2 linked regions of the Rattus norvegicus genome follow. The protein of the gene in region 1 interacts with the protein of each later gene in a biochemical or structural test. Links are inferred from orthologs where the notes say so. Each region holds a gene or a part of one and is shown on either strand. Other genes may lie near its edges.

Region 1 (15,821 bases):
GCAAACTTTAAGGCTCTCTCAAAGGCAAAGCCAGAAAAATTTGAGCCACAAAGTATATACAACCACATTTTGGATTATAACTCAAAAAATAAACATATAAATTACTCTATTGTGGTATAAATGGTTAACTAAATAATTTGGAGAAACAGCTCTTCCTTATAGAATCTCCATGCACATACAGAAGGAAAACAGAAAACGAGTAGATCACCAAGAGGAAAACCTGCAGGCGAAGTTAAATTAGTAGGTACAACTTAAGAGAAAAATAAGGTATTTGTGTGGCTTCAAATTACATCCTCCCAAGTGTTGATTGCGCTGGCGGGCTTTGTTGTTTGGGAGAAACTTCTTATGAAACAGGGTCTCATGGAGCCCAGGCTGGCTTCTGACTCCACAGGAAGCAAAGGCTGCCCAAAACCTCTTGATCACCCACCCTGACTAAGAGCTGGTTTTACAGCCTGGCACCACACCTAGCATTGCATTGCTGATTTTAGCAACTCTATCCAGTAACTGCTTTAAATCCTTCTTCCCTGGGAGACGGAGCAAATCTGGTCAGTATCTAATAAAACAGACAAAGGGGGAAGACACTTTTGAAGGACACTAGTGTTCAAGGGCACTAGCGGTTCTCCAAACTTAAGTCATTTACAATGCTGTACAGATATTACAACAATGTTCCAGTAATAGCATCACCAGAATGAAAAGTCAAATCCCATACTGGTTGTCATAAGATTTCTGATACAGTGCAATGAATAGAAAAAGCACTGATTTCTGTAGCATTTTCCCAAAATCTATCACCTTAACCAGTTATAAATTAACCAGATGAACTCATTACACTTGAGAGGCAGAGACAAGGATCAATATAAAATAAAGGCAACCTAGTCAGCTCCAGGTCAGAAAGGACTACACAGTAAGACCCTACGTCAGAAAGGGGGAGTGGGTGTGGCTGGAAGGTGGCCCAGCAGTGACTGCTGCAGAAGACTAAGGCTCTGTTCCCAGAACCTGTATGGCAGCTCATGAGAATCTCTAACTCCACTTCTAGGGAATTCGACACTCTCTTCTGGACTGTGCTGACATCAGGAACACTTGTGGTGCATATACATATATGAAGGTGAAAACCAAACACATAAAATAAATGCAAATGAATCCTTGAAAAAGAAAACTAAAGCAACACGCAAATGTAAAGTGAGAGGCAGTCTAGGCACACTTCAAAGATATCCAGACTCAGGGCTGAGGACAGCTCAGTAGGAAGAATGCCTGCTTAGCATGCATGAAGCCCTGGGTTTAACCACCAGGACAACATAAACCCAGCCTGAAGACCCATTCCCATACTGTAATCCTAGCCTGTAGAAGATAAAGGCGGCCCATAAACTCAAGGGCTCACTCAGCTAAATTGTGAGGTTAAGGCCAGCCCGGAGAAGAAAGCTATCTTGGGGCTAGAGAAATGGTTCAGGCATTAATAGAACATACTGCTCTATCAGAGGATTTGAATTTGGCTCATAACCATCTGTAACTCCAGCTCCGGGGGGATCCCATGCCTCAGTCTTCCACAAGCACCTTCCATTATCATTCAAACAGTCCTATACAGATATACATATACACAGATAAACTAAAAAGATAAACTTATGGGGCTGGAGAGATGGCTTAGTGCTTAAGAGCACTGGCGGCTGTACCAGAGGACCTGAGTTCAATTCCCAGTACCTACATTGCAACTCACAACCACCAATAACTACTTCCAGGGGATCTAACTTTCCTGGCCTCCCTGGGCACCAGCCACACACAATACAGATGTGTATACAGGTAACACACCCATCCACATAAAGAACAGAAAAATAAAAAATAAACTGTAAAAAGGAACCTGTCTCAGCAATAGTGGTTCAGAAAGCAAAGGCAGGAGCATCTCTGTGAGTTCAAGGCCAGCCTGGTCTACAGAATGAACTCCAGGACAACCAGAGCTATGCAGAGAAGCCCTGTCTCCAAAAAAAAAAAAAAAAAAAAGAAAGGAAGAAAGAAAGGAAGGAAGGAAGGAAGGAAGAGAAACAAAGAATTAATGAATGTCAACATCATTAAGCCAAGCAGAGTAGCACATGCCTATAACCTTAGTACTCTGGAGACAGCAAAAGAATGCTCTCCTACAAGTCTTCAGTCTGCTTCAGGCCAACAACGGCTAGCTACATAAGCAAGATCCTGTCTCAAAAAGACAAAAGCCCTACAAGTGCCGAGACAATCAATGAAAAAGGAGGGACATCGGAGAACAAAGGTAACTAATATAAAGAGAGCAATCCAGAGTAATCTGGATCAAACCCTAGGCCAGAAAAAGAACATTCATGGAAACAGTGATGAGTCAGAAATTTAAAAACCTCAATTAAAAAATAAAAATAAAAAACAGCCGGGCAGTAGAGGCTCACGCCTTTAATCCCAGCACTTGGGAGGCTTTGAATTTGAGGTCAGCCTGGTGATCTACAAAGCAAGCTTCAGAATGGTAAGGGCTACATAAAGTAACAAAAAAAAAAAAAAAAAAAAGGGAAAACAAACAGCGCAGCGCAGCACAGCACAGCACAGCACACTTGTAATCCCAACACTGGGGAGACTGAAGGATCGCTGTGGCTTCTTGCCAGCCAATCTAGCCAAACCAGCCCTTTTCTTTACATGAACCGGTGAACAATTTTGACACTAAGTCTTTGGAACTGAGATTGACTTTTTCAAAAATACTAATTAGCATCTGTTAATTATACATTATGCATTTTAGTATGGCATTGCATATCTATCTTGGTCATACTCACATGGCCCTCCCTCTCTTGTCCTACTTCTAAGGGTCACTGATCCTCTTCAACTAATACTCCCTCTACTTCCATTGGAGGTGGGGGTGGCAATGAACTTCATTAGTGTTGTTTACAGGAGCACAGGCACCTCGTCAGTGGCTACACCACTGAGGAAAATGAATCTCCTTCCCCCAGCAAACAGCTCCGGAAGACTCTCAGGGAAGGCTGTGTTGGGAGGGAGAAGCCCTTGCTGATCCATGACAGGAAGCCAATGGTTCAATCTTGGGAAGGTCTTACATAAGTACTCATAGCTGCTCCAGGAGTTCAAAAATGCTAATGGCTTCCATGGCTTTTCACTCTCAGAAAGACTTCACAACTTCTAAGGTCCCAATAAAAAACATGCAATAGACAAGAAAGAGAAAAGCAAGACAGACACAGTATTTAAGAGATCAAAGGCCACCTAGACCCAACTATAGATGTCGTATTCCATGACTGCGGCCATCTCTGCATTTTAAGTTTAGAACTGGAATTTACAATTCTACCTTAGCCTTCTCAGTAGCCTACAATTACAGGCATGGACCACCATGTAAACTTCACAAACCCTCTTGTCAGAACTGTGTACCTAAGACTCCCAAGGTTCCCCTGCCTACTCTAGGAGTACAGGAACATGTCATTAGTCCCTACTCAAAACAGCCTCTCTCTGTTTTTAAATCTCTCTGTTGGAGTCTGGTGGCAGGCATTTAATCTCAAGTTAACTGGAAAGCTAAAACAGGAGTATCACAAGTTCAAGGCCTACCCAGCTACAGAGCGAGTTCAAGGCCAACCTGAACTCCCCTTTTGACCAAGTGTTGAAATACAAAAGAGAAAAGTTCAGTGGCAGAGTATATGCCTAGCATGGAAAACGGTCTAGTAAAGCCCCCAGTCTGAAAGCACGTGTGTCGGGCTGGGCATGCCTCACTGCCTGCACTCTCACAGAGGGCTCAGTTCAAGTCACAGCACCCACAGGAAGTCACCACCACCTCTAACTCCAGCTTCGGCAGATGACACCTTCCTACAGACATGCATGTACCAATACACATGAAATAAAAATAAGGCTTTTTAAAAGTGTGTGTGTGTGTGTGTGTGTGTGTGATAAAAAATTTTCCATGAATTTTAAAGTAGATGTTTATCTAAATGTTATCTGGCTTAAATTTAAAAATTTTAGGGTTGGGGGGATGCATTTGGAGACCATAAATTCAATCAATGTTGGCAACAAAAAGCAGGGTTTTTTCCTTTAAATTATATTCTAGGGGTGCTGAAGAGATAGCCCAGCATTTAAGAGCACTAGATGCAGAATGTTCCAGAGGATCCAGGTTCAATTCCCATAATTCCAATTCCAGGGAATTCAAGTCCCTTTTCTAGCTCTTCTGACACCAGGCATCCATTAGGTGCAGACAAATAAGAAGGAAAAACACCCATAAACATAAATATCAATTTTTAAAAAAAATTAATCATATTATAGTACCAAAGCAGCAATTTCAGCCCCAACTTCTACAGGAAAACAACAGGCAGACCACTCCTTTCTCTTTAAAAGGCAGAGGGAGCAATTTACCAATGTCTCTTACTAAGACACTCCAATGTGAAATTCAGACAGGGTAATAAAAAGTAAGTCACATCTAAAATAGCTCACATAATGGCACTCAGGTTTTGGTTTTCTGTCCTTTCCGACTTTTCTCTGAGACAAATCTGTAGGCCAAGCTGCCCTGGAATCAAGACTGGCTTTAAACTCCTGACTCTCCTGGGTACTGAGATTTGCAGCCTGAACATTTAGTAAAGGTTCCAAAAGCTGCCTGTCTACCTGACAACCACAGACATGATGCTTCGGACACTAAAATCACATTCCTCACAGTAAGGACCCAAATCACCTTTCTTCCAATTGTTCTACAAGGAGGAGGAGAGAATGACAGGGGCCATCTGCCTGGCATGTGCAAGTACTGGATTTGACTACCAGCCACATACACACTCACAAACAAAACAGTAAAAAGCAGTGAAAACTACATGAAAGCCAGGAATGATATTAATACACTGTCAGACAGATAACTGATTAGTCCAATTTTATTATCAAACACTTAAAAGGGAAAGGCACTTAATTGAAACAGCTCTATTTCAGAAAAGCATAAAAGTGTAAAAGACTGCTAACATTTTCAGGAAATCTGGAGTCTCATTTTAAAGTGAAGGAGGAATAGGAAGAAAAGATCACTGTCATTAAACTGCTCTGCCCAACCCCAGAGAAGGTTGCTCACTTTTAATCAGAGCATCTGGGAAATGGGTATTCAGTCATTCCCATCTACACAGTGAGGTTTGGTTTGGTTTAGCTTTTTAAATTCACTATGGGGGCTGGGGATTTAGCTCAGTGGTAGAGCGCTTACCTAGGAAGCGCAAGGCCCTGGGTTCGGTCCCCAGCTCCGAAAAAAAAAGAACCAAAAAAAAAAAAAAAAAAAAAATTCACTATGTAGGCCAGCCTGGCCTCAAACCTCAGGCAATCCTCCTGCTTCAACCTCCCAAGTACTGGAATCATATGATGAGCCACCGTGCCGTGCTACTTTGTCACCTTAACTAATAAACAATCATGAGACTTCAGCTCAATCCTTAGGGCCCACATGAACTTACTCTCACAGACTGTCTTACACACACACACACACACACAGAGTAATAAATATAAATTTTTCAAGCACTGGGATTAAAGTCTTGCGCCACCACCTGGCTCTATTAAAAATTCTTTAAACTTTGGTGGCTTAGGAGATGCTTGTGTGTCTGACAAGCATGGGGACCAGAGTTAGAAAGCATCCACTTCATTTAAAAAACAAAACAAAACAAAACTGGTGTGGTGTCCCATACCTGTTATCATCTCAGCACCAGGGAAGTAGACAAAGGAAGATCCCTGACGCTAGCTGGCTGGCCAACCTAGCCATTTCTGTGAACCCCATATCCCAGTGAGAAACCTTGTCTCAAGAAAATAAATAAACAGGGGCTGGACAAGTGGCTCACTGGTTAAGAACACTGGTTGTCCTTCCAGAAGATCCTAGTGTGGTTCCCAGCAACCACATGCAAGCCCAAACAATCTGTAATTCAGATGACTGCCTCTTCTGACCTCTTGGACACTGCATGTACACAATAAGGGGGAAACACTCAAAAACACAAAATGAAAATAATAAAAGGTAAAAATTAAATGGAAAGCTCCTAAGGAATGAAACCCAAGGTTGGCCTTTGACCACCAAATGCATGCAGGCATTCGTACACATACACCCAACACTCATACATGCTCATACATACAACACTCATACATACATGAGAACACACATGCACACACAAAGCTTAAGGTCTGTGTTAGAGCTCAGCTGTAGGATGCTGGATAGCTTTAACACGCAAAGCTATAGATTCAAATCTCAGCACTCAGCAGGCAGAGACAGAAGATCAGAAGCTGAAGGTCATCCTCAGGTATAAAGTGAGCTTGAGGCCAGGTTGGGATCCTTGATAATTTGTCTCATGATAAAAAATAAATAAAACTTCCCTAGAAGCTAATAGATTATGACAACTACTTCTTGTATGAGGTTAATTAGTATCAAGTCTGTATTTATATCTGTCTATCTCTCTTTTGAGACAAAATCCCTATGTCACCGTTGACAGTCTAGAATTCTCTAATATAGACTGGGGTGGTCTTGAACCTTCAGTGAGCCTCCTGCCCTGCCTCAAGTGCTCAGAGCACAGGCTCCTCCACTCCTGGCTCTGTTTAGCATCTTCAATCAGTGTGTTGGAATAATCACTGCCTGCTTCACTCCCTAGCTCTGAAAATCAAATCTTGGGCCAGCAGCATATCTCAGTGCCTATAGCCATGACTAAAGACAGTTACCACCCCAGAACCTGCATAGTAGCCAGAGAGAACTGATCCTGCAAGCTGCCCTCTGACCTCCACCCATTCACTGTAGCAGTCACGTGCCCCCTCTCCAAACATACAATAAGTGTAAAATGTCAAAGCTGTCTTCCAGATCTCCAGAAAAAAAAAAAAAAAGTTTTGGCCCTTTCCATATACTTTACCACACAGTTCACATCACACTGTCAGTTAAATGCAAGTGCCTCAGACATTACTCTTAGTTAATATATGCTTGCACTTAAAATAGTAATAAAATATCTATCATCACCTCTAATCTTGAGCAAGTTTCATAAATCCTTTCCTCAAACTCCTGGTCAATTTACTACACAGTCTAGAATGCAAATATAAGCCAGATACTGGCATGCTTGAGAACTCAGGAAGAATGACTAAAGCACTGTCCATTCAGGGCACGGTGACTCCTATCTGTAATGTCAGCACTTGGGAGGCAGAAACAGGAAGACTGCTGCAAATACAAAGTCAGCCTCATTTACAAAGGGTGTTTCAGGAGAGCCAGGACGACATCACAAAACACAAAAAGAGTTATTAGCCTTGCTATTTATTAGCCATTCCTCTTCCATTTCCTCCAGAAAAATCTCCCCTGCCTCACTTCTGTGCTAATAACTCTCCTTTTTTAGAGAGCACGTTTTGCTCTCTAAAATTATTTGTTTAGATTATTGGGGGAGGGACACACATGAAAAGAACAACCTGCAGGTGCCAGTTCTCTCCTTCCACCATATAGGTCCCAAGGATGGAACTCATAAAGGTGGCAGATGGCTTCCTCTGCTGAACTACCTTACATGTCTCTTCTAGAACAGTCTTCCAAAACCCAACAGCCAACCAGAACAAGTGACTCTGCCCTAAAGTCACACTGTCCTGACCCATGCTGCACATCTGCATGCTCTATCTCCTAGTATCTGACATGTATAGAACCTATTTTGTATGTTATGTTATGTTACAGGCCCCTTGAGGTTAAGGTTTACACTCCTAAGTCCTAGCTTGCTTTAAAATGATTTATACTGTTTACAACATGATCTGGATAGCTGTCCTTTTTACATACTCATGGACACACTACTACCTTAATAGGTAGTAAAAATGACTGTCTCTTGTACTACTTTATAAAAAGAGAAATAGTCTAAGTAACATCTAACTTTGGTCATTTATAGTTAAATCTCTTACAGTATTTAAAAATATAAGAATGCGGTACATAAAATAAATAAATAAATCTTTTTAAAAGATACATATAACAAGGGCTGGAGAGATCGCTTAGTAGTGAAGAATATTTCTCTTCTTGGAGAAAACTCTAACTCCATTCCCAGCACCCACATCAGCTGGTCACAAGTACTCTAACTCCAGTGCCAGGGGATGTCTCTAACCCAGCAGTCCTCAACCTGTGAGTGGCAACTCCTTTGATGGGGGTCAAAGGACCCTTTCACAGGAGTCACATACCAGATATCCTGCGTTATCAGATATTTACATTATGATTCATAACGATAGCAATATTACCGTTATGAAATAGACATGAAAATGCCATGGGTAGGGGTCACCCCAACATGAATTGTATTGAAGGGTCATAGCATTAGGAAATTTGAGAAGAATAAAAATATTTAAATACATATGTAACAAATATAGGAATCTTCTCAAATAGAAATTAGAAACCTTCCTAACAAATCCATGTTCTTCTCTGTTTCCCTAAAATCTAACTAGGAATCCCAATAACTTTTCATGACATGTCATGGAACCTCATTCCCTAAACTGATTTTGTGCTGGGAGAGGGGCTGCCACCACAGTAAGTGTGTCACCATATGAACTGTTCCCAACTTCTTAAAGAAATACAAAAGCCTGGGTCAACCACAGAGCTCTGTGGATAAAGTGCTTATCTGAGTTCAGTTCCCTGAAGCCACCCACAAAGGGAGAAAGAACAAGCTCCCAAAATCTGTCCCGACCTCTGCCGCAAACAAAGTGGCACCTGTGCACCTGCAATCACATGTGTCACAATAAAAATAAAGTATGTAAAGTTCTACCAAGATACCAAGACTTCTGCTTAACCCAAATGAAAAAGCACATTTCAGTATTAAACCAGCCTTAGAAAACTTGAACTTAGAATGTCTTTTGCAAGAGCCATGTGACACACACATGACAAGTCAGCTGAGCTGATGGATGGACCTTTCCTGGGGACACACTTAGCGGGGACTGACCAAAGCAACAAATAAGCCCAGGTTTTAGGGCAGTATTGATTTCTCTTATTAAAAAAAAAAAACAAAACAAACAAACAAAAAAATCCCTCTCCCTTAAAGATTTCTGACACTAAAGTATAATAAAAATGACATCTCTTCGAGTTATTTTCATATATGGAAGCCAGAGGAGAATTTTAGGGTCAAAGAGAGAGCCCAACAATATCTATCCAAGAAAAGACAAGAGCAGTTCCCATGAAGGTGCCAGGTGTGTCACATCTGCTAGAGTGACTTCTTGAGTAAGCAAGAAAAAGGAATGCATTAACTTTTCATGACACGTCATGGAACCTCATTCCCTATCTACAGGCATTCAACCAGGTAATCTAAAACCTACAGTTCTATCATCAAAGGCCCCATTAGTTTCTTTTCAAAATTGTCTGCAAACTTGTACTTTAATTTGGTGGTGCCAGGAAGACGTTTCTAGTTTATTTTTAGTTCAGTTTTGTTGATGTTGTTAACCTACCGGAAACAAAAGGTGACTGAGAGACTCATGTGTCCCCCTAAAACAAAAATTTCACAAATGTTCAGGATTTTAGAAGGGTCACATCTCACAATTCTTACACAACTCTTCCAGGAGACAAGCCCTAAAGGAAACTAAACATTGTAAATAGCTTCTCGCCATCTCCTCATTCCCCTCAAGCCCACGCAGTCCCAAGAAGCATCCATATTACCAGAAATCCAACCGTGAGAGAGCTCTAACAAGCTCAGGATTTACAAGTAAAGCTGGTTTCCTCCCTGTCGACGCTGACAGCTCCGCAGAGCCGGCGCAGGGTCTGACAGTGCCCTCTAGCAGAACTCTCCCACCTACCTCCCCTTAAAAACAAGTCCTCCTCCAGCCGTCACTGCCTCCAGGGACGCGCCCTTCCTGGCCGCTGTCCGAGGCCCACTCCCCAACGCCCGGCCGCGGCACCTAGCTCCCCGCCGGCTGCGCCCCGGACCCGGCCCGGAGGCCCGACCCCTCCCCGCTGCGGCCCTCGGCCATCAGACAATGGGGCCCTCGGGCTGCTCCGTCTCGTTCGCCTGGTCGACCTTCCGAGTGCTGCGCAGCGAGCCTCCAGGCGGCCCTCACCCCAGCTGGACGCCCTCACCCCGGCCCGCCCCGGCTCTCCTGCACTCACTATTCGGGATTCATGCTGGACATGTCACTGCAGCTGCCGCCGCCGCCACCGCCCTTGCTGACGCAGCCGCCGCCCCAAGCCTCCGCGCCACGGGTAAAGGAAGGGGAGGAATGAGCTAAGCTGTTCCGGTAGAGCAAACGTCGACCCCACTCCGACCCTTAGAACACAATCAGCAGCCGCCGCCACTCAGTGATCGCTTCCACCCAAAATGGCCGCCGGCGAACCAGGAACTGGGGAAGCCTAGGCCAAGGGGCCTGTCGCGGCCCAGAGGGCGGCAGCGTCGCGGGGCACGCTGGGAAAGAGAGTCGTGAGCACTCCGCGCGCTGGGCAGCCTGACGAGGCCGAGGGCAGCCTGCACTCGGCTTCCCACTAGGCCCCACGTCCTCTACGCATGCGCCCTTGCGAGCTTGTCGCCCGCCCCGTCCCGATTCCCTCACCCCCACACCCCGCCCTTCCTGCTCCCCTCCCCGCTGGCCTGCTGGCTAGGACTTCGCTCGGACTCCCCCTAGCGGATTGGCTAAGGTCGAGCGGACTGTGTTGATGTCATCAGTGAGACGTGGCAGCAGGGCGAGTCAGTGCCCCACGGGGAGGGGGAGGAGGAAGGAACCGGGCGGAGGGAGGTGCCGCAGCCGAGGGGGAGGGGGCTCCCAGGAACGCTGGGACGCGAATGAGGCGGGGTGGGGACAACTTGACGAGTTCTGCTCTGGCAAGAACGCAGTGGCCAACCCCATCAGAGTCTGGGGCTGCTCTAAGGACAAAAGGAAAGTCAGGTGGCCTGTGTAGCCTTGGGCTTTCACACTCACCCGACTCCTTTTCTGATTTTTTTTTTTTGTTTTTACCGTTTTACTCTAGCAACTTGATGTTGAAATAGCTGCAAATGGACCCTGCTCCAGTCTCTCTTCTGCCCCCGTCCATTTGCACACGCAATCAGATTTACCTGTCTGAAACTGCTCCTCCATCTAGACCTCCCAACCTTTGAAGGCTCTGCATTGTGCTTTTGAGACTCAGGCTAAAATGAACCTTAACCTAGTCTTTCTACTTGAGGCCTTAAAGTTGAATTGGTTTTTGGGGTTGGGTTGGTTTGTTAAGTTTTGGGGGTTGTTTGTTTGTTTTGCTGTTGGTGCTGCTGCTGTTTGTTTTTTATTAGTTAAATTCTGTGTCCGTCTGTAACATTGGGTAATAATAAGTGTCTTTTTAAGCCAGGAAACTCATTCTGGACTCCAGAACTAATATTAATACATTTTTCAGACCTTAACTTTAATCAGCTCAGGAATTTAAATCTCCACTAAACTTTAACACATTATCTTGGGTTATTTATTCCAAAGGGCATAATATAATACACTGTCCAAAGTTTATCTTCCAACTTGTTCTAAGCAAGAATATTATCTCCAACTGCGGATTTACTTTTAATTTCTGAATTTCAGTGACACAAAAATAAGCAAAAGAGGCTGTTCTCATCTCTAACCATATACTCAGTATATTTTACACATCCCTCTGGACTTCCTCCATGTGACTTGACAGCCTCATCAGACCATACATAGATAGGTTTTGGGGGTTTTGGTTTTTTTTGTTATCGTTGTGGTTTTTGGTATTTTGAGACAGGGTTTCTCTGTGTAGCCCTGGCTGTCCTGGAACTCCCTCTATAGACCAGGCCAGCCTCAAACTCAGAGGTTCACTAGCCTCTGCCTCCTGAGTGCTGGGGCCATCATGCCCATCCTATATGGCTCTTTTCTGTGTTAACTTCTGAAATAACCCTAGACGGATGAATGAAGCACCACACATGTTTAGATATGTCCTCCTATCATTTCACAGAATAAAAACTCCGAAGTGTCCCCAAACTCAATTTTTCAAGCAAAGATCTTGTTGTTATTGTTGTTTTTTTTTTTCTGTGATTTATCATTTAAGCCAGACAGAGTGAAGCAATGCCTTTCATTCCTGCCCTTGGGAGGCAGAGACAGGTGCTTCTCTGTGAGTTTGAGGCCAGCCTGTTCTACATAGTAAGTTCTAGGACAGAGCTACACAGTGAACTTCTGTCTCAATACCCACCCCCAAATCTATCATTTAATTTTAATTTTATGTATATGAATGTCTTGCCTGCCTGCATGTATGTATGTATGTATGTATGTATGTATGTATGTATGTGTTCCATGCATGTGCCTCTTGGCCTCAAAAGCCAGAATAGGGCATTTGATACTCTGAATCTTGAGTTACAGTGTGATAGATGCTGGGAACTGAGCATGGGTCCTCAACAAGAACAAAAAATGTCCTCACCAGATGAGCCATCTCTCCAACCCAAGCTGGGGTTTTAGTGGCGGTATTTTAATATAGGCTTAAGGGCTGGAGAGATGGCTCAGTGGTTAAGAGCACTGACTGCTCTTCCAGAGGTCCTGAGTTCAAATCCCAGCAACCACATGGTGGCTCACAACCATCTGTAATGGGATCTGATGCCCTCTTCTGAAGTCAGCGACAGTGTACCCACATACATGAAATAAATAAATCTTTAATATAGGCTTAAGCATGAAGGTTAAGGAAAGCAGACTCTCAGAAAGAAAGCACTACAGAGTGCACTACCACCATACAGAGAGGCTACCACCAAAACTCCATTTTTTTTATCTGTCTGCCTCCTCAGAGGTAAATTTGCTCAACTTTCTTTCATTAACTATTTAACTTCCCAACAAATCATCTTCTAGTAACCCCCCAAGCCATCATGGCTGTGGATTAGTGAGTGCCAGCTTCCTATATCCTACTGCAACATAGGTGTTATTGATATTAAGGTTCCTTGGGCTGGAGAGATGGCTCAGTGGTCAAGAGCACTGACTCCTCTTCCGGAGGTCCTGAGTTCAAATCCCAGCAACCACATGGTGGCTCACAACCATCTATAACACTAGTTTTATAGTAAAGCACTTTTCCTGGCCTCTAGGTGGTGTACATACATACATACATTCATACAGGTAAAACATTCAAAAAAAGAAATAATAATAATAATAACAATAACAATAACAATAATAATAGTATACTTCCTGCCTTCCCAGACAGGATCTCACTGTGTGGCTCTGGCTGTCCTGCTCCCTGACCACACTGGCCTTGAACTCACAGAGCTCCAGCTGTTTCTGCCTTCCAAGTGTTGGGATCAAGTTCCTGTGCCACTACTCCCAACTCTTAGATGTATCTTAAAATAATCTCTTTCTTCCTCCCTCTCTCCCTCTCCTCCCCCCATTTCTTATGTAGGCATATATATGTGTCTGCCAGCATTACGTGTGACCATGTGTCCCTGTATAAAGGCTAAAGGTCAACCGCACATGCCTTCCTTCCTCTGCCACTCTCCACCTTGCTTTCTGAGACCAGGTCTCTCACTGAACCTGGAGCTCGATCTCCAGTTGGCCATTGAGCTCCTGGATCCTTCCATCTATGCTCCAGCACAAGTGCATAAGATGTGTATCACCGGCTTTCACATGGGACGAAGGGTCCTCCGGTAAAGTGCATATGCAACACTTTACCCACCAAGCCATCTCCCCAACCCCCAAACGTTACCGGTAGGTAACGAATTTTGCTGGTGCGAACTTATTATATTTCATGTTTACCCTTTGGCCAATAGTTCAGATTAAAAACTCAAAGCAGGGGTTGGGGATTTAGCTCAGTGGTAGAGCGCTTGCCTAGGAAGGGCAAGGCCCTGGGTTCGGTCCCCAGCTCCGGGAAAAAAAGAACCAAAAAAAAAAAAAAAAAAAAAAAAAAAAAACTCAAAGCAATCCAAACACTGGTGGCTCTCGTTTGCAACCCTAGCACTGGAAAGGCTGAGACAGGTGCATGGGTGGGAATCTGAGGAGAGTCTGAGCCACACAGTGAGTTCTAACCTAAGCTCATGTGAAACTCACTCAAAGACAGAATTTGCCTACAATCTCAGAATGATTCACTGAAACACTACACGCTCTTCTGACTGCCCTGAGGTTGAGGGAGAGCCTTTCTGGAGGGTGGAGGTCTGATCTGCAGCTGAGCACAGACACAACACGAGTGAAGCTTGGCTTTGAGTCTCAGCATGACAGAGACAGCAGAAAGGCCCTCCTAGGTAGCTCTGCCTTTAAAAGGGAAAAAGGAAAAAAGATTTATATTTATATATGTGTGTATGTGTCTGTGTGTAGGTATTCACACATGTGTGCTGGCACCCAGGGGAGACCAGAAGACAGCATTGCATCCCCTGGAGCTAAAGTTACAGAGGGTCCTTGGATAGAATTCTCATCATCTGCAAGAGCAGCGATTACTGTTAACCCCTGAGCTATCTCTCCAGAGCCGCCTCCTCCTCCTCATTCACATTTATTTATCATTTATTTATTTACCTGTGTGGGTATACAGGGGTGGGGGGTGTACATGTCAGGGCACACACGAGGACAGAAATGTGTGGGTGTACGGAGGTACCTGTCAGGGCACACATGTGAGAAGGGCCGAGACCAAGTCTCAGGGCTTCACTGTCTCAACAGACGGCTTCTGAGATTTAGCTCGGAACACCAGTCCTGGCAGCAAGCACCTTCACCTGCTGATCCTCTCCAGCCCTTCTGGCTGTCCCCCCTTTCCTCTCTCCCTTTTCTCTCTTGTTTCCACTCTTTTTCAGGTGTATATGACCCGGTACATAATAAATGTATGTAGACCTTGATCTGGGTTTGGGGAGAGAAGGAAGGGTAGGTGTGCTTTGCTATTTTGAGATAGGTTCTCATGGAACTCAGGCTGGCCTCAAATTCACTGTGTAGTCGAGGATAGCTTCGAACTCCCCTGAGCTCCGTGTTCTGTGATTTCTAGCATGCCCTACCATGCCCACCCAGCTGTACTTGAAATATATGCTTAAACAATATAAAATTGAATGACTACAACTCTTTGTCTTTAAGGAGATTACCATTCAGTTAGAAAATTCTGAGAATACAGACAAGGCCTCTGGGGAAAAGTACAAAAATACACGTAAAGGATATGGCCTTTAGAGACTGCTAGGCATGAGGAGTGGGAGGAAGGGATCGTCTGAAAAGAGACGCAAAGGATGCATGTCTTTGGTTTGAGGGAAATAGCCTGTATCTTCATTGTAATGACGGCTAGGTATATAACCGTACATACTTGTCAAAACCCAGGTCACTTGGCTTTGAGTCCCAACATCACCAAAAGAACTCACGGTCCTATACATCCAAAAACTATGAATTAGGATCAGCAAGATGGCTCACGGGTAATGGCACTTGCCGTGAAGGCCTGACAACCTGAGTTTGTTCCCCAAACCATCTAAAGGTGGAAAGCAAGATTTGGCCCCTCAGAGTTGACCCCTGACAGGTGTGCTGTGATATGTACATATAGACCACACACCACCACCACTGCAGTAACTAAACGAGATTTGGTTAAAACGTTAAAATCGTAATTTACTTATGTATAAATCGTATGCTCTTGTATAGTACTAACCTCAGAGCACACCAGCAGCCATCTCCATGCTTCAGCTGTGCCTGCTTGCACAAGATCTTCAATCACAACTGGACATCCCTTCACAGATGGAGGGAGTGGGGAGGGTCGTGGAACTCTAGCCTAGTGTCCCGTATCCAGGCACTCTCCACCTACTTGTATGTAATTTTACCCTAATTACATGTTGCCTGGTGAGGGCCTAAAGTGTATGTGCTGGGGAATTCTAAGGTAGGGGCCTCCATCCGTGTGGCTAGTGGGGAGCCATTATCTCCACTGGGTAGAAACTTCCAGTGCAGCTTGGTAACTACCCATCCACGATCAGTTTGTAAGTCCAATAAATAGGATCAAACTCCTTGTCATTGGAACCTTAGCGAGGGCTCGGGGT
Region 2 (15,821 bases), on another chromosome or scaffold:
TAAAGTAATATATTTGCTTCCTTAGTTAAAAACAAACAAACAAACAAACAAACAGTGCTTTGGCCAAGTCTAATCTTTAGTTCCATTTCCATTACATTCAGTTCTGTCTTTTGAAATGTCTGTCTACCCTTTGCAGTTATGCCTTCTAAATGTCTCTGGAGCAGACTGTGGTTCTGACAAACTTTATAAAGTGGGTCTGAATTACTCTCACTTCCAATCGGCCTCTCTCAGAATTGTTGTTAATTGCTGTTTTAGGACATTTTAGGCATTTCAGTTGTTCTGCTAGATTTAAACCTTAAGATCTACCCAATATTAATTAATTAATTAATTAATTAAAACCTTAAGATTTACCCAATATTATTGCTTTACTAAAAAACAAACACTGAGACCAATCAGCGGCTGTCTACTCTGAGCATGCTGTCAGTCATGTGAATCTTTTCTTGCTTTCCTCACTAAGGAGGAGTAAGAGTATACTCAGAGCACACTGTGGTCTATTAGCATGCTGTGCTCCTTCCCAGCTCACTGGAGCCCGGACTGGCCTAGGTTACGGTGATCCTCCTGTCTCAGCAGTCTGAATGACAGGATTACATGAGTGGGCCACCATGCCCAGATTGGGATGTATCTTAAATATGAGCTTCTTAGACTACTAAGCGGTACACTTCTTAGAAGGTAGAAGGCTAGGGAAGTCTTACTGCCTCCTGAGTTCCAATGGTCAAGCAGGTGAGTTCACATGTAAGTGTTAAACCCACGACACAGTGGCACGCACAGCTAAGCTTCTGACAGTTGTGTCTTACCACATGGCATCTGAATTAGCTGCTACTCCTACTACCATCTCCATGTGTTCCTGTAATCAAGAAACTCTCCCAGTCTATGACTTACGTGTCCCTCTACGTATCTGAGGTGGTAGCAACAGTAGTAGCTGCGGGAGTAGCTAAAATAGTCCTTGGACAGTAATTTAGTGTAAAAAAAAAAAAAGATAAAACCTAAACACAGGAGCAAGCGAGATATTACCTAAAGGTCAGCAGAGGTGCTAACGAGGGACCCAGAAGTAAAATAAAAGTGAACGGCCTTCAAAGATTCTGAATTGCTGTAGCCAATTCTGAAACAAAAGAGCCAATTCACCAACAACTCAGTTGTTGAAAGGTTAACAGTAACATGACAATCTCAGTTCTGAAGACACGTGAACAGTGCTTCTTACACAGTTGTGGCTCACTCTGGTGGTGGGTATCCTTCATGCGACAATGTTTTGAGGCATTGCCAGTGTTTTCTTTTGTTTTTGAAGGTGCTCTAGGTTTTAAAAGTTCTTGCTGTCCTTGGGGTATCTAGCTTAGTGGTAAGTGTATTGCTATCCAGGAGTGTCTGGTTGCTAACCCTCCGCTTCAAAGATAATGTCTTCAGGGTTTGGTGGAGGAGGGCAGAACTCTTCACTGGGAAAGATCTCCTGGAACAGTGTTTCCGCTTGCTTGACTGCATGCTCATTCCCCAGTCCACAGTCAGGACCAGAGCAGATGTATACATTGGAAGGTAAGCTACAGTATGAGCTTCGGCTCACCCCTGAGGAATCTCTCATATTAAAATAAAGGGCCCACAAAAGTCTTGGTTTTCTGAGTTCCTCTTTGTCTGCTTCTGCTTCTGCAAAAGGGATGAATAACTGCTTCACCACGGGTTCCAAGTCTTCTCGGGCTGTTTTTGAAGAGAAACAGGTCAAGTGGACCAGATAGCTGTCCTTCATGCATGTCATGGTTGAGGAACATAATTCCATGACCCGAACCGAAGCAGTTCCCGGCTCCAGAGGAGGCACTACCAAAATGGAAATCTGCTGGTCTGAATCAGTCTTCAGGATGGACTGATCTGTGATAAGCACTGCCCTTGAGATCTGCTTATACTGAATGTTTGAACACATTTCCTTAGAAAGGTAACTGTCCTCCACGATAAAATAGTTGGCACTTATTCTCTGCCCAAAGCCATCTATGATTCCTTTACATCTTCCAGAGTCTCTGTCAACTACAAGACATTGTACCTTATGGCGAAGGCAATAGACTCCACCAAAAACTGCGCACATCCTGCAGAAACACTGGGGAATTTCTCCTTGGCCGTATAAAGGGAATATAAAGGGAGTGTTGCCAAACCGTCCAAGACACCGAAGGAAGTTCTTTGTTGCTTGAAGGCCATCTAATGTAGTGCAGGATGAGTCTGACGACATTGCAATTGAGTGGAGTATGAAGTGTTGGAGGTTAGGCGTTAGCTTTTTAGTTTTTAAGTAGTCAGAAAATGAACATTGTTTGAAATCTTGGTATTCATCTGAATGTTGCTCGTAGTCTAAACAGAACGTGAGAAACTTCATTAGCATTCTCTTCTCAACCATAGTGAGCTCTTTACTGTTAAACACATCTGCTCTGGAGCAAGGCACCTGTTCTACCTTCCCTTCCCGAAATGCAAGGATCCTAGTAACATTCTTAAACTCTGCATAACGACTAACGTTTGATTTGATTAGAAGATCGATCAGTGAGCCTTGAGAATACAGCAGCTTTGATACCAAGTCAATGTTGAATGTCCGGCTCTCCTTGACCATCTGCGAGTAAGTAATCGTATTTCTCTTTGGTTGTCCTACGTTGTCTTCTGCAGCAAGTTTGTGTTCACCTTCTTCTCCATCTGAAACTGTGTGCATCCCGGTTTCATCTCCACAGAACTTTTCTTTCTCCAGTGAGTCCTGTGCATCAGCGGAGGAGAGTGAAACTGCTCCATCACTTCCCTCTGTACGTCTAGAAGGCGCCTCGTAGCTTGTACAGTCTTCTGAGTGCCTTTCTTTGGGCAAGCTTGCAGTATCCAGAGAGTCCGCCGGAGTAGCAGATGCCTCTGGGGAGGGACTTTTCTGCAGAGGGTCGGTCTCTTGCATGCTATCTTCCACATCTTGACTAGCATAACAGAAGACTTCCGTGTGCTGAATAGTTTCGTCCTTCTTGCAAAGAGCGATGGCTTCTTCGGTTTCATCGATCAGGTCTTGCCATGTGCCAGTCACGTCTCCCTCGCTGTCATGGTTCTGTTGATAGTCCTTCAGCCACGACAGCAAACCTGTAAAGCTGAAACTCGCCCAATTCCCTCCATAGTAACTCCTTGAGTCAACGTGCAGAACTCTCTGTCCACTTCTTGAACATGCAGCTGCCAGGATGGACTCAGGCAAACCAGTCCCTATTATAACCACATCAAACTCTGTGGGAAGTTTGTCCGCCATCCTAGGAGCTGAAGCTTCAGGCCACAGCTGATGAGAGAACACAGTACGGATCTAGGTTGAGGGCTCTTCTGAGGTATTGATGCTGTAATAAAATCTTTATTTGTGATATTCATTCAGAAACATCGAGTCTGTAAGTCCTAAGCTTTTAACTCTTATAATTTTTAAACATTAAAAAAAAAAGTCAGTAGCATGGAAAACACGATAAAGTGCATGTAATCATATCTGAGAATACTCATACGGATGTGTCCTTTTCATTTCTGCATTTCACCTTAGCGGGAAATGTTACCATGCATCACATATGCATTTGTGACTGGAACTCTTCTCTGAAAGAAGAAAATTCAAGAAAAGAACACAGTTGTAAATAATATAGAAGCAATTTCATGCAACAGCAATTCCAATCCACTGGAGTCTGACTTGTTAATGTGGATACAAACCTCTACCCAAAGCAATTCATTAAATGGTTTCCGACAGTTCTTCTAGCAAAAAGAAGGTATTTTATATACCCTCCCCTAAAGTCAGGCAATATTGTTATGAGGCATAGACACGATATCCAAATAAATTAAAAAATAGTGTTATACAATTATTGATTTTAATAAAATATTTGGACAATACCATGAGCTTACGCTAAAGGACTATGGTGGCTTTACTGTGCTAATGGAAACACACGATGTGCTATGATCATGTCAACATAATGGGGAAGATTACTGTGGCCAGGAAGGTCAGTAGGTAATCCCAGAAGAGCCTTAGAGAAGATTTATATATCCTTAACTACCCTACGGATCTTGCAGTAGACACTAAGATATTCAGACATTACATGATACACTAAGATATTCAGACATTACAAAAGAATTAATTCAATAACTGGCACTTTAAAATACCTAAGTATATAAAAGAGCAAGCCTAAGGGGAAACAGTTTTATAATGTTTTCAGTATCAAAGTATAAGTTAAAAAAGAAAGTTCTTGGTTACCTATTTAAAACACAGTAACATAAATAATATCTAAATAAGGAACTATTTGCATTTTGCCACACGATCTCTGCAACCACGAATATCTTTCTAAGCGTGTTATTTTCATTTCTAAAGAAATAATGAGAAAAGATTCTTCTGTTCCCTTCCATCGCACGGCTGGCTATAGTCCATGCAATGCTAGGTGTGGCTGGCGGCTGTTCCCTTTGGACATACTCACCTGGAATTCTGCAGGCTAGCACATTTATACACCCCACTGCCGGTCTTTGGATTGCTCATCATACACAGTAGCAATAATTGTTCTTTGGCCCCTCTACTGTACACTACCATTAAATCTGCTATCTAGATGCAGGTACAAGTAAGAGAATGGTTATTCTGGTAACTGTAAAATAAGCCATTCAATAGGGATTTAAATGAACTTTACTAGGTCACTGGCTGGCTGGATCAGTTTAACTGAAACCGTGACCCTAACAAGCCCAGCTGGTAGAAACCTCTGACCAAGATTATCAGGGATTCTACTTATTTTTAGCCTTCTTTGAGATGCTAAGACCAGAGCCCAGAATGAAGCAATTCCCTGGTCTCCTCCTGCACATATATACGAGAATATGTGAATTACTTACTCGTGCTTCTAGCAGACTATAAAGAGGGAGAGAAAACCTATGAGGCTGTCTAGAGTATAAGCATGTATATGCACTTCCTCCAGGCACAGAACAAGGCTGAAGGGTGGCAGTAAGAGGGGAGGGGGTTATAAGCACCAAGTGTAGGTACGTTCTAACCTACAGATGTCACTGTAGCCTTCAAAAATACAAAGCAAGTGGGAGAGAGGACTTTAACCGCAGAAAGCTCAATAGTAGATTACAACGGTAGGAGAACCAGCAGCCGGTAAGAGACTGGGAAGGCCTAGACAATGGGATAGCCATAGGCCTACCCTTGTGCCACCAGTCTCACCAAAGCCTGGAGCAAGCAGCTAGGAACGTCCAGCAGTTAAACATGTCCTCTCCTTCAGTACTCAGAATTGATTAGTCCTGGCTGAGGAGCAGAAAAGGGAAGAGTCTTCTCTACCTCCATCCTTTTCCCTACTCAAGAAGCATATTCTGGGAAAAGAAATCATTTGCTAATTATGCTGTTAAGATCTGCAGCAATCTCACTCTAGACTTGTCTCCAAGAAGTAACTTATTTCCAATCCTCTAATCCCACAAGACCTACATCGGGTTTTAGGATGGGAATAAAGGCCATGATTCAAAGTCCTAATAGATGCCCTGAATAAAGGAACTGTCCAGTAAAACACCCGGGGTGGATGTTTCTTGTAGTCTTTAAAGAAATCTCTTCTGATGCTGACAGACCCCAGCAGGAATTCAGAAGGGGAAGAAAGGACAGAGAGGATTCTGGAAGATAAGCTTGGCAGAGCAAGCCAGAGAGAGACAGGGTGCTGCAGACATAAGAAAAACTCAACCCAGTCTTGTTTTCTCAGCCCCAGATGGAGACACTGAACACCACAGCACAGAAAAGTACTTCACAGAAAAAAAGGACTTTAATGTCTTCAAACACCTGTCGCCCGCCCAAGGGGTTCTGCAAGCTAGGCTCCTGACACATCACCTTGTTTAAAGATTAATCTGCCTAAAAAACCCTCCCAACGAACATTTTTAGGTAACAGAATAATCACATAGACAACCTATGTACCACTCATATCCTCTTACGGACCTTTCTCAGGGTTCAATACTGTTATATAAAGGAAGTCCTTAGATGAATGTTTATTAGGGGGGAGAGAATAAGAAAGTATCAGAATTGTCAAGTAGTGGGGGAAAAAAAAAACCACCGTAACTCCTAAATTTTATTTTAAAACTTTAAAAAGGGAATCATGACAAATACTCTGAGATTTGGGTTTGTCATACATCTCCGGGATATGACATAGATGATTTTCTCTAAGACCTGCCAAGATCAAGGTAATAGTAAATTATCAATGTGTTTTAAGGTTTGTAAAAAGGGACTTTAAGCCTTAAGTAATATCCATTTCTATTGTAAGTCGTTGTACAAACAAAATCCTTAGGACAGATACACACAGACTCTCTCTCTTCTCTCTCCTCTCTCTCTCTCTCTCTCTCTCTCTCTCTCTCTCTCTCTCTCTCACACACACACACACACGTTTTTCTCAGGTTTAGAATCCTGGGTTAGTCAACCTTCAACCTGTCAATTCTCAATATAAATCTTCAAGAAATCAACAAGTTCTACTTTAATTAAACGTACTGGCTGCCCTGCTAATTATTTATTCGCAAGAGTGAGTTGGAATTCTTTGAGCCCTTTGTAACCTCTGGTGTGACAGAACCTATGTGGAGGGAATACAATTAAAAAAAAGTATAATACAGTCTCACTCCCTAGGAAGCATTCAACCGTTTAGAATTGCTAACGAGTGAAAGGGGGTAAAAATGCTGCGTTATTTAGGATTCTACGTGTCACTTTAAGAAACAAATACTTCATTTATTAATTAAATCTTTCCTTGTCCCCGCCTCCACTCTTCAAGAGTTGACTTTTTTCTTGCATCTCTGGACTCTACAGGCCCTGGTTTCTTTCCCCCACTGTGAGATGCCCTGTTGAGCTACAGTAGGAAGTAAAAACAGATGAGAGGACATAAGGTGATCGGCAGCAGGGAGACTTTGTTAAGTGCTGCAGAGGGATGGGGAGCCGAGGTTGATGACTGGCTGGGAGGAAGGCTGTGTAGACCCGAGGGAGGGGGCGGAAGAGAAAGAGAGTTGGGGAGGAAGACCTGGTGGAAGGGAGAATTCCTGGGAGAAGAGAGAAGAGGGTTACGGATGAAGGGAGGTTCTCGAGGAGGAGAGACAGGGAGTTGTGGGTGATGACTGGCTATCAGGGACGATCCCGGGAAGGACGGAAGCCCAGAGCTGAGGTACCCAGGGAAAGTTGAGAGGCGAGGAGAACCCGTCCCGGGCGACTCACCAAAGAGGCTGCCGCTAAACCCGTCCCACGCGCAGCCCACGGCGTCCCACACCCAGCCGTTCCGCAGGCACGACGCGAAGGTGAAGGTGACTCCGAACAGGGATACCAGCAGATCGCCCAGACTGAGGTTGACCAGGAAGAGGTGGGTGGGCGTGCGCAGTCGCGGGAACTTGGAGTAGAGAAGCAGCACCAGCAGGTTGCCGCCGACGCCCAGCAGCGCGAGGCAACCGAGCAGCAGCGCCAGGCGCTCGTACGCGGTGGGGCTGAAGAGAGGCGCGGGGCTCCGCGTGCCGGCCGGTGCTGCGCCCTCGGCGCCCGCCCCGTCCTCCCAGTAGCCCTGGCCGCCGCTACGGTTCCCCGAGTACATGGCCCGACGCCGACGCGCCGTGAGGGAGAGGGCTCCGTGCGCCCGGCTGCCCGCCACGCAGCGAACCGGGTGGAGCTCACGCTCAGGCTGCAGCTCAGGCCATTGTGCCTCGGAGCAGCGCCAGGCCCGCCCAGCCCGCGCGCACCCGAGACCCCGCCCTTCAGTGCTAGGACCCCGCCCACCGCACGAAGCTCCGCCCCCTAGCGTTCTTGAGATCCCGCCCTCCCGCGTGAGTCCCGCGCCCCACTAGCAAGCACTACACTGGACCTCCATCGACGCCACGCCCTTCAATCTTGCGGCCCCACCCAACAACAGCCGTTTGGCCCCGCCCCCTTAAGGCTCTTCCGCAGTCTCGCCTGCGGCTCCTCCCTCCCGGAATCTCCCGTTACTCCGCCCCCCGACTCACACTCTTGGCCCCGCCCTCGAGGGTACGGCCCCGCCCTCTGAGAACCTCTGACTCCGCCTCCTAGTTGGGGCCCGCCTCTTCCACCCCTTCCCACCTCCCAGGCGCATTCTGTAACCTGCAGAGGCAAGTTTTGGAGTCTAGTCAGCTCTTGTTCCTCTTCCTTAACCCTTAAGCCATAGTGGAAGCGGGAAGAGACCGTACAGGGGAAAAAAAAGAAAGTAAACTCCTTTACCGAGCTAAATAAGCCACAGCGGGTCCTCACTGCTCATTTCCCCTCAACCAGCTTGAAAGCATCTCATCCATTCACCTGTTAAGTCAATCATCCTAGCATACATTCATTCATAAATATTTATAAACGCCTGCGCTTAATTCAGTTGAGCATGCTGAATGAAATACTTTTTCCTGTGAAGCTATAACAACACCCACCCCCACCTCATACACCCAACAGAAAGAAAACAAAACAATGAAATGCCCGAGGCAGCGAAACGATCTTACAAACAGGGAAACTGAGGTCAAAACAAACAAACAAACAAAAGCAGCAGGCTGAGACTCAACTACTCTAGAGCTGGAAGATGATATGTCCCAGAGTTTGTGACAGTATGCTGAGGTGCCCCTCTCAGAGCCCCAGAAAAAGGAAGAAAATAGCATCAGAGTGACACCCAAGTCACCCTCCCATTGGATCCCAAGCCTTCTCAGTCTGCAGTAGGAGTATCCTGATACACAATCCTGTCCAAGAGCTTCCTTGGAGGTGATCTCTTGAGCAGTGCCCCCAAGGCTTCAGTCCAAATCTAGCCGGTATAGAGAGGATATATTTAGAACAGCACACATTTTCCACTGGACCTTTCCCCAGCAGCAATGCAAATATAGTACAAGTCAAATATAGATTGTGAGCACCACTTCTTTAGGCCTGCTTTCCCTGTCTCCACTGCAGTCCCCAACGACTACCCACAAGAGAAAAATGTCCCGAGCTCCACGCACCTGAAGCTGTCATAGGCGCTAATGACTGATTTGTGGAAACTGAATTGAGTGTTCGCCCCTCCCACTGTGTTAGATTCAGCGCATCTCCAAGTTCTTCAATAATCAGCTGAGATAGTTTGATACCCTGCTGCACTGAACATTCAACCAAGAGGCAATGTGTGCCGTCCTCGAAAATCTTTGTCTTATTTTTAAAACTTCTAACCTGAACTCAGCATCTACAAGAACTTTGAACTCACCTGCCCTGAAAAACGTTTCTAATTTTCTGTTTTAGACTTCTACGAGCATTTAGCAAGTTCTTTGTCTCACTGAGTTCTCAGTATAGTAGTGTTACTACAGTAAGATTGCAATGTTAGTGGAAGGAAGAAAGGAAGATAGAAAGGAAGGGAGGGAGGGAGGGAGGGAGGGAGGACGGAAGCAAGGAAAGACTTCTGATATTTTTTTCTAAAGTATTCATTCTTTGGCACAGTCTTTTTTTCCTCAAGCTCACTTTCTAGAGGTGTTGGGATAGAAGACAATAATAATCAAATTGGTTCATATAGAAGACGTCAGATGCCAAGTGCCATAAATAATTATAAGACAGAGAAAATAGCAGGAAGAGAAAATAAATGTGCTGTTATTCAGGTCTGCATTGAGCGCTCTAAACAAGACCTATGTGCCAGGGTGGGGCTCTACTTGCCCCTTCGGAGGGACACAAGGGAGCCAGTACAGCAGAATAACAGGAGATGAGGATAGAGAGGTAGGGGAGCAGTGGTGGCCTCTATCGTATCCACCTAAAAGGTCCAGAACATTGCCTACACAAGAGCACTGAATGGAAGGAGTTAAGAGCCTGGGAGGGAAAGAGTTAACATTTTGATAATTGATAACAGTTATTATAATGGTCCTGTGAATTGTTAAAGTCCTTTAGCAGAGTTGATAGAAATAAGCAAGATACCACATATTATGTTTTTCTTTGCTAATAAAAAATGTTCCTTATACATTTCAGAATTAGATATTTATGGGAGTGATTCCCCATGGGGTTGTGTGCTTCAGTACTTGGTCCCTGTCTGGTGGCACTGTTACAGGAGCTTGTGGAATCTTTGGACATGGCAGTATTCCCCAATAGATCATCTCCAAAGTGACCCAGACAAGCCAAGCAGTGGCTGGCCATTCAGGCCTGTGTAACATCAAGAATCCAAGCCCTGCTACAGGCATCGGGTGCTAACACACATTCTTCCCAGGAGATTTCTTCGCTGGCTTCTTCCTGGAGCTGGGTTTGGCCATGGTGACGTAAAGCAACCTGCTACCCTGCCTCGGTTAGTTGTTGTTTGGTTGGTTTTCTTTCTTCCTTCCTTTCTTTCTTTCTTTCTTTCTTTCTTTCTTTCTTTCTTTCTTTCTTTTTTTTTTTTTGTTGTTGTTGTTGTTGTTGTTGTTTTGCCAACCTGGCACAAGGTTTTTGGGGGAAACAAAGAACATCAGTTGAGAAAATGCTTCCACTAGACTGGCCTGTAGAAAAGCCGTGAGAGCAGGTTTTTGATTAATGGTGATGTGTGAGCGTCCAGTCCAGCTAGGTTGTAGAAGACAGCAGGCTTAGAAAAATACAACTAGTAAGCCAGTAAGCAGTGTTCCCCCCTGGATTCTCCTTCAGTTCCTGCCCGCAGATTCCTGCACTGAGTTCCTGTCCTGGCTTCCTTCACTGATGGACTGTGATGTGGAAGTGTAAGATAAACTAAACTCTTTCTTTCCCAAGTTGCTGTTGGTCACAGTGTTTTTCCACGACATCCTCCCGCCACGTAAGAGTGTATAGAAAGTTCCCGTAGGAGGAACGGGCCTTTGCCAGCTCCTGACTGCCGGGACCTTACACTGTTGCCAATCTTCAGAACTGTGAGAAATCAGTATCTGCTTGCAAATTACTCGGCGTGACATGTTTTATTGGAGCAACAGGAATGGACTAAGACCAATGCTGCAGAAGATACAACATCTAATACAGTAAGCAATAATTTCACACTATCTGCTCACTCCTGTATCACTACTACCTACATACCTGCTGGCATAAGGAGGTGTCTGATAAATGCCGAATGAATGGATGAGGATTGGAGGAAAGATAGTTCCCAGAAGCTGCCAAGTAGTATTTGGAAAGCTATAAAAGAGAAAAGAAAGAAAGAATAAATAGAGTGAAGAGATTCTCCATGTAGCATGTTTATAGAAATTTACTCCCCTAAAACCTCACGGTCAGAGATGAGTCAAAGGACGGACACCCGGTGCTCACCACAGACGTGCCCCCTAATGCCATTTGCTTCAATTCTGAACTCAGGATTGCTCAAGATGATTGAAAAGATACACTACCAAGGAAAAGGGACTCCATCTTTCTCACGTTTTCATAAATTGACTGTTAGTAGACAGACAGAATAGACTTTTCTAAAACACTGGGATGTAGGAGAGGGGTTGGGGGCTGGAGACATACCTCAGTTGATGAAGTGTTTGCTGCACGAATGTAAGGACCTGAATTGAGATCCCCAGCACCCATGTTAGACGATAGGCACTGGGGCTGGAGAGATGGCTCAGTGGTTAAGAGCATTGACTGCTCCTACGGAAGTCCTGAGTTCAATTCCCAGTACCCATGTTAGAAGATAGGCACTGTGGGCTAGACACCTGGAATACTGGAGCTGGAAATGTGGAGAGGGCTTGTTGGCCACCAAATATAGTCAATACAGCCTCAGGATTCAGAGAGATCTGACATCAAAAGTGAAGGTACGGAACGATTATGAAAATGTGCAATTTCATCCTCAGGCCTCCTTGTGCCTTGTGCACACATAGCAGCAAACTTTTACAGCAGCATGCACTAGAATGCACACACACACACACACACACACACACACACACACACACAACTTAAATCAGAAGTAAGCATTTGGACTCAGTGGTGCTAGATGCTAGCATTAATGGAAGAGACAAACAGAAAGGCCTCTTCTTCTTCAACTGGTTCCTCTTGAAAAGCTCTCCTCACAAGGACACCTTCCTTATCCTTGGCTCCTTTTCGTTTTTTTAGCTCAAGGTAAATGCATAAAGAGGAAAAAGAAACGTTTTTATTCCCCACAACTTCTAAAAATAGTTATTGGTGCCAAGGAAGACAGGTGATGAAATACACTTTCATCCTCACAGGTTCAAATTTCCCTATCCAGGAGAGCTATGGGAAAATGTGAACGTAACTCTCTGTAGTACCATGAAGAAGACAGGAGACTGGGAGGGAGAAGAGACATTCATTCCAAGGAAAGTAAAACCTAGTTTCCTTCCTTTATCCTTCCATTTTCTCAATGGATGCACACACACACACACACACACACACACACACACACACACACACACACCCTGCAGGAGGTGGATCCCAATCTGCTCAGGGACTTACACAGATACTGTGACCTAGTGAAGTCCACATGATGGCCAATGCTGACATTGTGAGGTCAGGACCCTTCACTATCACCCCTGCCTCTATGAAATGCAGCAGGCCTCAGCTTTCCTCCTGCTAACCCTCCTAGGAACAGCTCTTACTCCTTGTTCCTATCAGACGGGGATAAAAAAAAACCAGAGGAATGAGACCTAGGGCAAACGTTGAGATGGCAGAGACATGTTATAAGAACTAGAAGCTTTTCCGCATTAGCAAATTTGCAGTATTATTTCCTCCTCCGTGCAGAAATAAGAGACCCCTTATATCTGTATGGATGCCAGGGATGAGAAGCGGTTCAACCTTGCACTGCAGATCAACAACTTCAAAGCGTCCTTGGTTGACTTCAATAAACTGGTTGAACAGACCACAGCCCAGAAAAAGGAAGAAAGAGCAGGCCTGTTTATCCCCAAAGAAGGTAAGATGGGGAGTTGGGGATTTAGCTCAGTGGTAGAGCGCTTGCCTAGCAAGCGCAAGGCCCTGGGTTTGGTCCCCAGCTCCGAAAAAACAAACAAACAAACAAAAAGGTAAGATGAATGGTTACGGAGAAGTCCATCTGGATTTGTTGATTAGGTCATCGGAGAAAGGCAGTTTAGTTTAAAACCCAAGACACTGAGTTCCTCCTCTGTCCCTGACATACTTAGCTAGATGCAAGGAAGCCTTTTGTATTTATCTGTAATACAAAGAGTTGGATTAAATAGCATTAAGGGCTTCTACTGCAGACACTGTCAGCCACTGGCCCACCTGAGACTCAGTAGAGCATAGTGGCCACATGGGAGGCCCTCTGTGTCTCTGTGTTACCCGGCTCACTAGAACTGTAATAAAATGCAGTCCACTTTGCTTGTGAAGACAATGGGAAGTAGAGAGGAGTCACCTTCCCAAGCCAAGAGTCAGAGGATTTCAGATCTTTCTGGATATTCTCCAGATCTTGGCTGAGCTCTCCATAAAGTGCTCAACAAAGCTTTAATTTCCCTCCAGTCAGCTTGTTTTACCTCTTGCTACAATTGATTCTCCCAACTCTCACCATGGTTTTGAATCCTTGATGGGGCTTCTGCTCCTCTCAGCCAAGTTTCCCACCCTAGGAGAGAGCCAGGCACAGAGCCTAGAGTTTGTTCACTCTCCCTTTTCCTCTAGCCCAGTACTTCCTGAGGCAGCCCTCCTGCCCTCCTCTCCAATACTGTCAATTTGCAGCAACAACCTCAGGAGTCTCTTTTTCCATCAGCTTTGTCCTTTGAATCTAAAAATATACGCTGGCGTCTCGTCCTTGATGCCCTTCCCTTAAGCTACCCCTCCATGTCTCTTGTTTGCTTTTCTGATAAATTTCCCCCACAGCATCTCCGCCTTTCTTCTCATTCACTGCAGGCCGGCTTCCTTCATTTTTGTTGAAAATATACTCAATACCTAATACTGTTGACAAGTTCAGTAAGTCGCCTTTCTTTTTTATCTCTTCTTTCGTCTAGACAGGATCTCACTATGTAGCCCAGGCTGGCCTGAAACTTGATATCCTCCACCGCCCGCCTGTACAGCGCTCGGACGCCAAGTGTGCACCACCAGGTCTGGCTTTGTTACCCCGTTTCCGCCCATGTGACCATTTCACTGCAGGAAGGCTGGCCTCTACGAAGCTCCTCCCTCTCCTCCTTCCCTCCCCCAATCCTGCTCTTGTGTGTCTGTCTATGTTGACACTCTCTTCTGGTTTTGTTCGTTTCTCATTCTGCTTTTCTTTTTTCTTTCTTTCGTCCTGAGATTTGTTTGTTTGTTTTTGCCTAGTGTGTTCTTGCCCAAGTCTTATGGCATGAATGCCAGCTGCCTAGTCTCATAGCCATGTGTTTAGTATTACTTTTGAATATGTAACCATAGTTCTCTCAGATTATTATAACACCTACTGAAGTCTTCCATCCAGACTTATTCCTTCTGATATATTACTACAGAGAGTTTTTCCTCTGCCTCTGCCACGTTCCTGGTTTACTAACTCTCCTTAGAATCTATACAAGCCATCTCGGTGACCGTGAGTCACTGCCTCAACCTTCAATCCTGCCAGGCACTTTTCAACATTTCTAAATATATATGTCATAGCTTTTTTAAAAATGTTTACTTATTTACTTTGTAAACTGCAACTGTAGCAAGTGAACTACATCCTCATGCCTGAGCTGAAGTTTTCAGAAAAAAAAAAGGCAAATCTATATTAAAAATTGACTAATTAGGCACCAGTCCTGACTTAGTGCCCTCTGATCTATCACACAAACCCTTTGGGTTGTGGTAGTAGGCCACCGACTTTCACCAAATCCGAAGCTAAGAGTGTTATCAGAAAGCCCTAAGCCTGCGGCAGCAGACCTCTGCCTGCTTTGAGATTGCTTTCAATGGGTTGGAAAATGCCTTGAGACATGACCTTTCTGTTGTTGTTGTGTTGTTGTGTGACTATGAAAGCTAACCTAGTCTATATTGGAATATGTTATTCAGGGCAACTTGAATCTGTTCCCAAGCTATGCTCACTCATACATGGATCAAAAACATGTAAGAGCTCTGAGGTAAGAGCTGTGATTTACGTCCACAGTTATTAAATTGTTTCCTTTGCCATACTTTTAATGGCTAAGATGCCATTCTCCTGATTTGGATATCTCTCCAGTCCCTCTCTCATCTTTCGATTTTTCAAGAAAATAGAATGCGACCTTTTTACAAACTCCCACATTTCCCCCAAGCAGAGCCATCCTCAACACTGTTCCTGCGTTTATTGTTTGCCTCCAGGAATTTACCTGCTTTATTTAGGCTGCTGAGGTTAATACACACTCTGCGCTTGACCATTGACCTGTAAGTGTTTTGAAGGTTTTGCAAAGATAAGGCCAGCTCAGAGCCTGGTGTCGGGAGGCTCTCCTTAAACACGTGTTAAACAAAGAAGTTAGCCTTGCTTTTTCCCCAAAAGCTTGCAATCCCAGATCTGTGGTGCAAAGTTCCTGCTTCAGGAGTTTTCAGATTAGATAAAAACTAGTCTGCTAGACAAATGGCCTTCTGCGTCTCAGGGACAAGGTTTAAGAATTGAAGAGAAAGGGAAATATGTAATCCTAACTTGCACCAAGCTGCTAATACGATCCAAATATGTTTGTATTGATTAATAGATATTGGAAGATAAGAGTTAACTCTTTACAGTAGGTAAGGAGCTAAGATTGGAGAGAATGTCTGAATGGAGAGGTTTTAGCCTCAAAGGGATGCTACGTAGACTACAGAGATTTGTCCTGGTTACATTATTAGATCTTACCAGTGACCTAGCCGAATTCAGATTACCCTGTGACCAAATGCTACCCCCCCCCATTCAGGTACATTCCAGATAGAACATGTGTCTTTAAAATAGCTACATAAACATCCCCCCCCAAATAGGGCTAGTAGGGTAGATAAAACATTTGCCAAGTTTTGAAACCAGGTGAATGTCATTTTTACACCAAGGCTTCTCAGCCATGACGTTCTTGACTTTTGAACTAAATAATTCTTTGTTCTGTGTGTGCAGGCAAGT

What was found.
Region 2: the proteins of Rab1a (region 1) and Chml form a complex in vitro, tested with the Homo sapiens proteins (2 studies listed by BioGRID). The link is inferred for Rattus norvegicus from reciprocal best matches to the Homo sapiens genes RAB1A and CHML.

Annotation. Positions count from the first base shown.
Region 1 is NC_086032.1:98,618,068-98,633,888, reverse strand, and holds the start of Rab1a (ras-related protein Rab-1A), read right to left. Parts: upstream 10,213-15,821; 5' UTR 10,036-10,212; coding exon 10,013-10,035; intron 1-10,012. UniProt on the Homo sapiens protein: The small GTPases Rab are key regulators of intracellular membrane trafficking, from the formation of transport vesicles to their fusion with membranes.
Region 2 is NC_086031.1:90,144,475-90,160,295, forward strand, and holds the start of Chml (rab proteins geranylgeranyltransferase component A 2), read right to left. Parts: upstream 7,624-15,821; 5' UTR 7,518-7,623; coding exon of another isoform or gene 7,151-7,517; intron 3,556-7,150; 5' UTR 3,233-3,555; coding exon 1,367-3,232; 3' UTR 1-1,366. Other genes in the region: Opn3 (opsin-3), read right to left, coding at 7,151-7,517; Wdr64 (WD repeat-containing protein 64), read left to right, coding at 12,593-12,737. UniProt on the Homo sapiens protein: Substrate-binding subunit (component A) of the Rab geranylgeranyltransferase (GGTase) complex. Binds unprenylated Rab proteins and presents the substrate peptide to the catalytic component B.